Linked DNA regions of Saccharomyces cerevisiae S288C. Changing the gene in region 1 together with any one later gene gives a genetic interaction. Each region holds a gene or a part of one and is shown in the gene's direction. Other genes may lie near its edges. The genes, in order: SLK19, LTE1 and CTF8.

What was found.
Region 2: mutations in SLK19 (region 1) and LTE1 are lethal when combined (synthetic lethality), as found in Saccharomyces cerevisiae (8 studies listed by BioGRID, with this or other methods).
Region 3: mutations in SLK19 (region 1) and CTF8 impair growth when combined (synthetic growth defect), as found in Saccharomyces cerevisiae (7 studies listed by BioGRID, with this or other methods).

What each region holds. Positions count from the first base shown.
Region 1 is NC_001147.6:710,866-714,627, forward strand, and holds the start of SLK19 (Slk19p), read left to right. Parts: upstream 1-2,000; coding exon 2,001-3,762. Other genes in the region: PEX27 (Pex27p), read left to right, coding at 1-711; TOA1 (transcription initiation factor IIA large subunit), read right to left, coding at 818-1,678. UniProt on the Saccharomyces cerevisiae protein: Has a role in spindle assembly and stability. Required to ensure a timely exit form mitosis. Essential to maintain pre-anaphase spindle polarity. Associates to the plus ends of the microtubules at the kinetochore and spindle midzone.
Region 2 is NC_001133.9:103,900-107,661, reverse strand, and holds the start of LTE1 (mitotic regulator LTE1), read left to right. Parts: upstream 1-1,789; coding exon 1,790-3,762. Other genes in the region: dolichyl-phosphate-mannose-protein mannosyltransferase PMT2, read left to right, coding at 1-1,390. UniProt on the Saccharomyces cerevisiae protein: GDP-GTP exchange factor for TEM1, a Ras-like protein, component of the mitotic exit network (MEN).
Region 3 is NC_001140.6:485,568-488,375, reverse strand, and holds CTF8 (Ctf8p), read left to right. Parts: upstream 1-1,744; coding exon 1,745-2,146; downstream 2,147-2,808. Other genes in the region: EGD2 (Egd2p), read left to right, coding at 140-664; LNP1 (Lnp1p), read right to left, coding at 714-1,550; ERG9 (bifunctional farnesyl-diphosphate farnesyltransferase/squalene synthase), read right to left, coding at 2,197-2,808. UniProt on the Saccharomyces cerevisiae protein: Essential for the fidelity of chromosome transmission. Required for the DNA replication block checkpoint.

The sequences.
Region 1 (3,762 bases):
AAGATACGACTACTAAATTTTTCCTCAAAACTGCGATTGGTGATTCAACAATTGAGTTTATTTCGGTACTATTTGAGATTCGGAAACTTTGCGATCAATTTATATAAAATTATCAAAAGATTTCGCTGGTTGAGAGAAATGAAAAAACTACATTATAAAGATCAATCAATTTTATTTTATTTTAAAAATTTCCGGTTTTTCGACATTATTGAAGCTTTTTATAATTTGACAGATGAGTTGATACTGTTCCATAAGCTACAATCAATGTTTGGTAAAAAGAACACATCACATGCAAATACTAATAGACTAATGACATTCGTCAAAGAACAGCACTATATCTTATGGGAAGTTTTAAATATTCTTGCTATCAATAAAAACATTGAACAATGGCGACAGCTAATAAGAGATGAAATTTATTTAAGTATCTATAATACCAGTGGTAATGCAATAAAGGAATACGAGTTAAAGTACAAACTACCTACCAATGACAAAGTCAATTTGGAGTTACGGAAAAATAATATTACATTGGATTTTTATAAGATAATACTAAACTTATTGTCTAATCTAATTAATATTAAAGGTAAAAGGGACAAATATAACTCAGAGCTAGCTTACGAAATAATTTCAGTAGGTTCCGGTGTTACTGAACTCCTTAAGCTATGGAACCGAGCCAAAGTCACTTCGGCTAATGAACATACAAGCGCTGTTTGACAACAGATGACCAAGTTCGTTGCATCCCTCTTTATTTCGTTTTTTTAGTTTGATATTATAGTACTTGTATATATACATTTTTTCTTCTTTACGTCTAAAGATTTAGTTATACCCACTCCGCTTCCACTTGAGCTTTTTGGAATGTGTAGTCATTTCTATTGATGGTCACCACACCATCTTTCAGACTACATTTCCATCTCGCCTTTGTTCTTGTGACTTTATCATATAAGCACAGCATTAAGTTCTCATCTGGCCCATCCTCTTCACCCTCCGAAATTAGATAGTCATCGTCGGAATCATCTAGTTCTGAACCGACCTCATCCGTATCTAATAATGCACTTCTTTTTTCCTTCTTCGCTTGTAATTTTACTTGTTCTATCTGCTCCTTTTCCTTGCGGGTTTTTTCCACGTCCTCCTCCTTTTCCTCGTCGTCTTTCTTCTCACTTTCATCATCTATGTTTTCGACGGTAGTTATATTGGCATTATTAATAGTAAGTTCTATTTCCGGTTTTACTTCAATTTTAGGCTGGCTAGTTACGTCCGCATTTGTATTACCACTAGTATTTGTGTTCAAGGTAGCACCTGAATTATTAGTTGCTTCTACCGTATTCGTATTAATATTGGTCTCTCCAGAGTGCGGTATGTTGTTGTTGGAATTGATATTTGGCAAAATTAGACCTTCATTACCGGTATTCTCCTCCTTAATATTGAACTCGCTAGAATTTACGCCGGGGGTAGCAAGATTGAAATTTAAGTCGTTCTGTACACCATTGATATTTCCTTCATTGAACTGATTGTCCCATGAAAAAGTAGTTACCTTCGTCTCTGTGAGCTTTTTTTGCCAAATATTTTTTAGGTCTTGTAAAGTTTGTTCATCGATACCCGCATTTTCAAAGTCCTCTCTTACTTCATTTACCACAGACTCTACGATAATCTCGTACACTCTGCTGGCCTCTGCATTCGACATGATATCCAACGATGTCCCTTGTGTATGGCCTTGATTTGTGTGATACTATCGCTTTTCTTCTTTGAGCTTGCCCCCGATAATATGCCGTATGGCTTTATCCACCTTGTTATTTGGCTTCTTCATCTTTTCTTCAACTGTCTCACATCATACTTGACGAAGCTTTTTTTCGCGTTAATTTATATTCTTTATTTATTTATTTATAATTCAGAGTGTACGATGAGTTCCTCTTTAATGGTTCATTTGAAGGACACTAACTAAAAAGAGCATCATTGGTGTCAAGGGGCACCCAGTTAAAAAAGGTTTTGAGCACATATCGTAATTCATGAACGAAGTTCCTACCACTCCAGTTAGGCTTATTTTAGGGCAAGCTCAGCAACGCGAGCAGAATTCAGAAAACTGTTCGCAAGAACGTAACCCACGCACGTTTAATTCCGAACCGGATTCCAGCTTTAACTCTCCTGGTTCCTCCCAGTTCGTGATACATCCTCATGAACCGCTCGAGAAGGAGAAAGATGAGAAGCAGGATTTAGACCGCTCGATTGATTACGGTAGGTCATCAGCTCTTAACAACAAGAATAATGCCAATCCATTAGAGAATATAGACATAAATAAAATGTTTGATGACAAAAAATCAGATTCAGGTACCAATGATGATAAAGGAGGCGCAAGTACTAGTGATAAGCATGTCCTTGCATTGAATTATTCACCGATCAGAGTTGAAATGAACTCCTCAGAGAAACGAAGCGACAAAAACGTGGACGTAGATGAAAATGATAAAGAAGGTAGCCATATTAATAAAAAATTGAAATTGCAGTTAGAATCAGTACCTGATTTGAAACAAAGCTCTACTAAAGATATCATTAATGACAAAGAAGAAATTATGTCGTCTCCAATGGCGATTGATATGATTGAGACCAACATAAGCCCAAATAAATTCATAATAAACGACGGAGTTGAAAGAAACGATAGTTTCAATATCAATACCGACACACTTAAATTAGAAAATGATATAAATGAGAAACAACAAGAGGAAGACTTCATAAAATCTAACAGTAACAATGTGGTTAATATTGACAATGCTTATAAGGAAAAGGAGGACGAAGAAAATGATATAACAAATTCTCATATAAACAGGCTTACTCCTTTGTATGAGACTTCTGCAAGGGAGTCGAACTCAAATGAAGAGGGGAGGAATGACTACGATGATGACAACCAACTTGATATTAGACATGACAATTTTCAGATTGTAGCAAAAAGAAACGAGGAGCTCACTGATCAGATATATCACTTAAATCAAATGTTAAACTCTTTGATTTCCAAAAATGAATCATTGTCTTTTCAATACGAGAAATTGAACAAAAATCACCAACTACTAATAGATTTGACAAATGAAAAGTTAGATAAACTAAATACAGAAAGAGAGAGCGATATTGCCAAGGTGGAAAAATTCAAAAAGAGGATTAAGGAGTTGAATACAGAAATTAAGGTATTGAATTCCAACCAAAAAATATTACAAGAAAAATTCGATGCCTCAATTACTGAAGTAAATCATATAAAGGGCGAACATGAAAATACTGTCAACACTTTGCAGCAAAATGAGAAAATTTTAAATGATAAAAATGTAGAACTGGAAAATATGAAAGCAGAATTGAAAGGCAATAATGATAAATTATCCGAATATGAGACCACGTTAAATGACTTGAATTCTCGCATTGTGCAACTGAATGATAAGATTGAAAGCACAGATATTGTTTTGAAATCTAAAGAGAACGAACTAGATAATTTAAAATTGAGTTTGAAGGAAACTTTATCGATTTCTAAGGACTTCAACGACTCTGACCTTATAGGACAAATTAATGAGCTAATATCTACAAAAAACAACTTGCAACAAAAAATGGATGATTTGAATAACCTGAACGACGATAATTTGAAGGTAGTACAGGATAAATTAATTAAAAATGAGGAGACGCTAAAACTAAAAGAAGCTGAAATTGATTCATTGAATAGTGAAATGGACGAGCTAAAAAAACAGATCACTTCAAAAGATGATGAATTTAAGATGTGGCAAAGTAAATACGAAACTG
Region 2 (3,762 bases), on another chromosome or scaffold:
CTTCTGCATTTTCCTATTGTGCTTCAAAATACATTTTGACCTATTATCGCATTCTGGTACAGGTGATGCTAACATGCCATCTCTTTTCCAAGCAAGATTAGTGGGTTCTGACGTCGGACAAGGCCCCCGTGACATTGCTCTAGGTTCCTCCGTTGTTTCCATCAAAAACCAAGCTCTTGGAGGATCTCTATTGCACTCACATATACAAACTTATCCAGATGGGTCCAACCAACAACAAGTAACCTGTTATGGTTACAAAGATGCTAACAACGAATGGTTTTTCAACAGAGAAAGAGGCTTACCATCATGGTCAGAAAACGAAACTGACATCGAGTATTTGAAGCCAGGTACCTCCTATAGATTGGTACACAAAAGCACGGGCAGAAACTTGCACACCCACCCAGTTGCTGCACCAGTGTCAAAGACACAATGGGAGGTTTCTGGTTACGGTGACAATGTTGTTGGTGACAACAAAGACAATTGGGTTATTGAGATCATGGACCAAAGAGGAGATGAAGACCCTGAGAAGTTGCACACATTGACCACCTCTTTCCGTATCAAGAACTTGGAGATGGGCTGTTACTTGGCTCAAACCGGTAACAGTTTGCCCGAATGGGGTTTCAGACAACAAGAGGTTGTCTGCATGAAAAACCCATTCAAGAGGGACAAGAGGACCTGGTGGAACATCGAGACCCACGAAAATGAAAGGTTGCCACCAAGACCCGAAGATTTTCAATACCCAAAGACCAACTTCTTAAAAGACTTCATTCATTTAAATCTAGCCATGATGGCCACTAATAACGCTTTGGTGCCAGATCCAGACAAATTTGATTACTTAGCTTCCTCAGCATGGCAATGGCCAACTTTGAATGTGGGTTTGAGACTATGTGGCTGGGGTGATGATAATCCAAAATACTTCCTATTGGGTACCCCAGCTTCCACGTGGGCTTCTAGTGTTGCCGTCCTCGCATTCATGGCCACGGTCGTTATCTTACTGATCAGATGGCAAAGACAATATGTGGACCTAAGAAATCCATCTAACTGGAACGTTTTCTTAATGGGCGGGTTCTACCCACTACTAGCTTGGGGCCTACACTACATGCCATTCGTTATCATGTCTAGAGTCACCTACGTTCATCATTACTTGCCTGCCTTGTATTTTGCACTGATCATTTTGGCGTACTGTTTCGACGCCGGTTTGCAAAAATGGTCCAGATCTAAGTGCGGCCGTATCATGCGGTTCGTCCTATACGCCGGATTCATGGCACTTGTAATTGGTTGCTTCTGGTACTTCTCCCCAATATCATTTGGTATGGAGGGACCAAGTAGTAACTTCCGCTACTTAAACTGGTTTTCCACTTGGGACATTGCCGACAAGCAAGAAGCATGAATTAAGATCATCGTAGTAAGTACATAAGTAAAAAACAAGAATTAAATAAAATTTCTATATCAACCAGCAGAAGAAGTGGTCTATATAAACCACTATATAATGAATTTCGATAAACACTCTTTAATTGTTAACCAGGCTGTTCTCCTTACTCATCTTTGCGATCCGATGCTGTTTTATTACCCTTCTATTTTTTCCTTTCTGCATTTTGATTTTCGCGAATAATGAAATTCTTGATCTTTTTATCAACAATGAAAAAAAAACTGTAAACAGAAACTGATAATTTCTTGAACCCTTTAGCCCACCCCAACCGTACTCGTGTTATTCGCTCGTTGATTTACGCGAACCTTTTTGTTTGCTTTACATAGCCTCTAGCCATTCAAAGATTCGCTACCCTGAACCATGGAAATATTTAGCCAGAAAGATTACTACCCGACTCCATCCTCAAATGTTATTAGCTATGAAAGCGATTGTGTATCCAAACCAGTGAATAGTGCAGACCTGCCCGCGTTAATTGTACACCTTTCTTCCCCTTTGGAAGGTGTAGACTACAACGCATCTGCAGATTTTTTCCTTATTTATAGGAATTTTATAACGCCTCAAGACTTACACGACTTACTCATCTATAGATTTCGATGGTGTATTAGGGAGATCACAACAAATGCTGCAAAAGCTAAGAGAAGGCGAATTGGTGAAGTTGCCCTCGTGAGGACGTTTGTGTTGTTGAGGCATTCCATACTGAATTATTTTGTGCAAGATTTTTTACCGAACATAACATTAAGACTTCGGTTGATCGAGTTTCTAAACGACAAACACATTGAACAGTACCCAAAAATAATTTCCAGCTGTATAATCAATCTGAAAAAAAACTGGGTGCATTGTTCTAAGTTGGTTTGGGAGAATATTGAACTAAATGAACCTGATAAATTAGACTTTGATGCATGGCTGCATTATTCGTTAAAGGATTTCACGCAACTAGAAAGCCTACACAAAAGAGGAAGCCGACTGAGCATTTACGCCAGGCAAAGTTTTGCCAGTCCTGATTTTCGTAACCAAAGCGTTTTATCATTATATAAAACTTCTGATGTATTTAGACTGCCGGAGAAGCTACAGTCTTCAAATTCTTCCAAAAACCAGAGAAGCCCTTCTATGCTTTTATTTCCCGATAATACATCAAATGTTTACTCGAAGCACCGAATAGCGAAAGAACCTTCAGTTGATAATGAAAGCGAGGACATGTCAGATAGTAAACAAAAGATCAGCCACTTGTCAAAAGTCACTCTAGTATCCACACTAATGAAAGGCGTAGACTACCCGTCATCATATGCAGTCGATAAAATAATGCCTCCAACACCGGCTAAAAAAGTTGAATTTATTCTGAATTCCTTATATATTCCTGAAGATTTAAATGAACAAAGCGGAACGCTTCAAGGTACATCGACGACATCATCTCTAGATAACAATAGCAACAGTAATAGTAGATCTAATACATCTTCAATGTCTGTGTTACATCGCAGCGCTATTGGTCTTTTAGCTAAGTGGATGAAAAACCATAATCGCCATGATAGCAGTAATGATAAAAAATTTATGAGTGCTATTAAACCAGCAAACCAGAAACCTGAAATGGATGCGTTTGTCAAATACGTTGTATCAATATCATCTCTCAATAGAAAATCTTCCAAGGAAGAAGAGGAAGAGTTTCTTAACTCTGATTCTTCTAAATTTGACATCCTAAGTGCAAGAACCATAGATGAAGTGGAGTCCCTACTGCATTTACAAAACCAGCTGATAGAAAAAGTTCAAACACATTCGAATAACAACCGAGGTCCTACAGTTAATGTTGATTGTGAACGTCGGGAACACATACATGATATAAAGATTTTACAACAAAATAGCTTTAAACCGAGTAATGATAATTTTAGCGCTATGGACAATTTGGATCTGTATCAAACCGTAAGTTCAATTGCTCAGTCAGTCATCTCTTTAACTAATACTTTAAACAAGCAACTGCAGAACAATGAATCGAATATGCAGCCATCACCCTCGTATGATGCACTGCAACGAAGGAAAGTAAAAAGTCTCACGACAGCATATTACAATAAAATGCACGGTAGCTACTCAGCAGAAAGTATGAGGCTCTTTGATAAAGATAATAGTTCTTCACGTACAGACGAGAATGGACCTCAAAGATTGTTATTCCATGAAACTGATAAAACCAACTCAGAAGCGATTACAAATATGACACCAAGGAGGAAAAATCATTCCCAATCCCAAAAAAGCATGACTTCTTCGCCTCTGAAAAATGTTCTACCTGATCTTAAAGAATCGTCTCCCTTAAACGATAGTAGGGAAGACACAGAATCAATAACATACTC
Region 3 (2,808 bases), on another chromosome or scaffold:
TTTTGAAAATTTTTCATCGCCGAAGAAAAAAATGACAAAAAGTTGAATGAAAAGGATTATTTTAAACAAGAACTAAGGTAAAGTCTCCTTCTGGGAGCAACCCTTACAAGCAACCACACACCCACATACTCAATTGATAATGTCTGCTATCCCAGAAAACGCCAACGTTACCGTCTTAAACAAGAACGAAAAGAAAGCCAGAGAATTGATTGGCAAATTGGGTTTGAAGCAAATCCCAGGTATCATCAGAGTCACTTTCAGGAAGAAGGACAACCAAATCTATGCTATTGAAAAGCCAGAAGTCTTCAGATCTGCCGGTGGTAACTACGTTGTCTTCGGTGAAGCTAAGGTTGACAACTTTACCCAAAAGCTAGCCGCTGCTCAACAACAAGCTCAAGCTAGCGGTATTATGCCATCTAACGAAGACGTCGCTACCAAGTCCCCAGAAGACATCCAAGCTGACATGCAAGCCGCCGCAGAAGGCAGTGTCAACGCCGCAGCAGAAGAAGATGACGAAGAAGGTGAAGTTGATGCCGGTGACTTGAATAAGGATGATATCGAGTTAGTCGTTCAACAAACTAACGTTTCCAAAAACCAAGCCATCAAAGCCCTGAAAGCTCACAATGGTGACTTAGTCAACGCTATCATGTCCTTGTCTAAATAATGATATAAAAATATATTATATAGGGGTACGTAGTTATTCTAACGCAAAATCATTTTGTTTTTTCCTTCTCCGACTGCGAAGGCTGTGCCGGTTGTTTTGCTTCAATGGCGTCTTCTCTTTCCTTTACTTCGTCTATTTTGTGGTTACAGTGAGGACAGATAAAGATGATTGGCTTACTGGCCAATCTGTAGCAATTGGATTTCCAATGACACTGTGGACATATGATTTTTTTGAAGGGAGAGAGCGAACTTGTTGAGTCCAATTCATTACCGCCTGCCAGTACGCTGATGATTTTGTCGAACCATGCATCGCTGTCTTCCTTCTTTAGGCCCTTTACATGGCTTTCCTTCTTAAATTTTTCTAGCTCTGTCTTTAGATTGTTTAATTCTTGGTATTTAGCATTTAATTCATCATCTAGAAGTACCATGGCATCGTCGTTTTGATCTTCACCGGAAGAAAACCGTTGGATGATTGAGCTTGTAGCATTATAGTGGGTCTCTTCCTTTAACTTTTCCAGTTTCTTTTGATGAATTGCACGGAGTTTTGCCAACTTGCGTAACCTATTGTTGTTATAAAATGCATAGAGTTTGGTTAATGCCCATTTGAACAAGATTAGCGAGCCTATGCATAGTAGCGCAGTCACCACAAGGTATGGTCGATAACCATGGTACTCCCAATATGTGTAGCTCAGGGCCAATACCGTTAACGCAATACCATAAAAGGTCAGATTTGATTGCCATTGACTCAAGATGGATTGGCTTTTCTTTAACGCGACATCTAATTGATGGATCTGTGAAGTTATTTGTGATAAATCTGCGGTATACTTCGTCACAAAGTCCTTATCATTGCGAGAGCCTCGGACCCATTTACCTAATGCACTAAACATATTTATGTTATTCTTTTATATCCGATCTCCTCTTTGTATGATTTTTGTTTTCTTAAAATATACATGTCAACGTTAGCATCTTGAATTTCATTTTTCCTTTAATCTTTTTTAGTAAGCTAACCACTAATATAGCCAAAGGAGTGATAGAAAAAAGAATTATCACTATCATTCAGCCCAATAAACAGCTGAAAAGAATGCCTAGTGTAGATATAGATGCTAGTCAATGGCAGAAGTTGACACAGTCAAGAGAAAAGCAGACCACGGTGATAACACCGCTTGGGATGATGATGCTGGAGATTCAAGGTGAACTAGAGTTGCCTAAGGACTTTGCGTCGCTGGCGAGGAGAGATTCTCCAAATGAGGGAAGGTTCAGTGAACAGGACGGCGAAACTTTAATACGATTTGGGTCGTTACAGATTGACGGAGAGAGGGCCACATTGTTTGTCGGCAAGAAACAGCGTTTACTGGGGAAGGTGACAAAGCTAGACGTACCGATGGGTATAATGCATTTCAATTCGAAAGATAATAAGGTCGAATTAGTTGATGTAATGAAATATAAGGTTATCTTTAAGGATAGGCCTCTACCTATTATGTAAGTACTTAGTTATTGTTCGGAGTTGTTTGTTTATGTTATTTGGCGCAGACTTCACGCTCTGTGTAAAGTGTATATATAATAAAACCCAAGAAGAACGGACAAGATGATAGATAAAACCATATTGAACTTGTACTCTTCTTCTTGTTGGGTTGGAACCAATTCATCATCGTATCTGGATCTTTCTTTAACTTTCAAGAAAATTGGAGTTTCATTTGGCTTCACGTTAGGAGGTAATTTATCCTGGTACATTTCTTCCATAAACTGTTCGATCTTGGAGATTTGAATGTTCAATTTTAAGAAATTTGGATCTTGCACAGCCAATTTAGATTTGATATCACGTAAGTAATAGTCAAAAATCTCGACACAGCCACGCAAAGTCCTTGATTTCAAAATTAAATAGCAGGTAGTACCCTTACGAATCTTTACATTGCCATGTAGCACTTCACGGTTGTTGAATACCAAAGCCAAGGTTGCAATGGCCATAACTTGGGGAATGGCACAAAATTGGAAAGTGGATTGCTCGTGGATACCGGCCAAATAAGTCAACACATCGATAACATGACTCAATGCGTTTAAGACGAGGTGGTTTATACAGTCCAACCCCAGTTGTTCGTTTTCAGGTTTCATGAAGTCCTTCAACTGAGGAGCGTATTGTGACCAGAT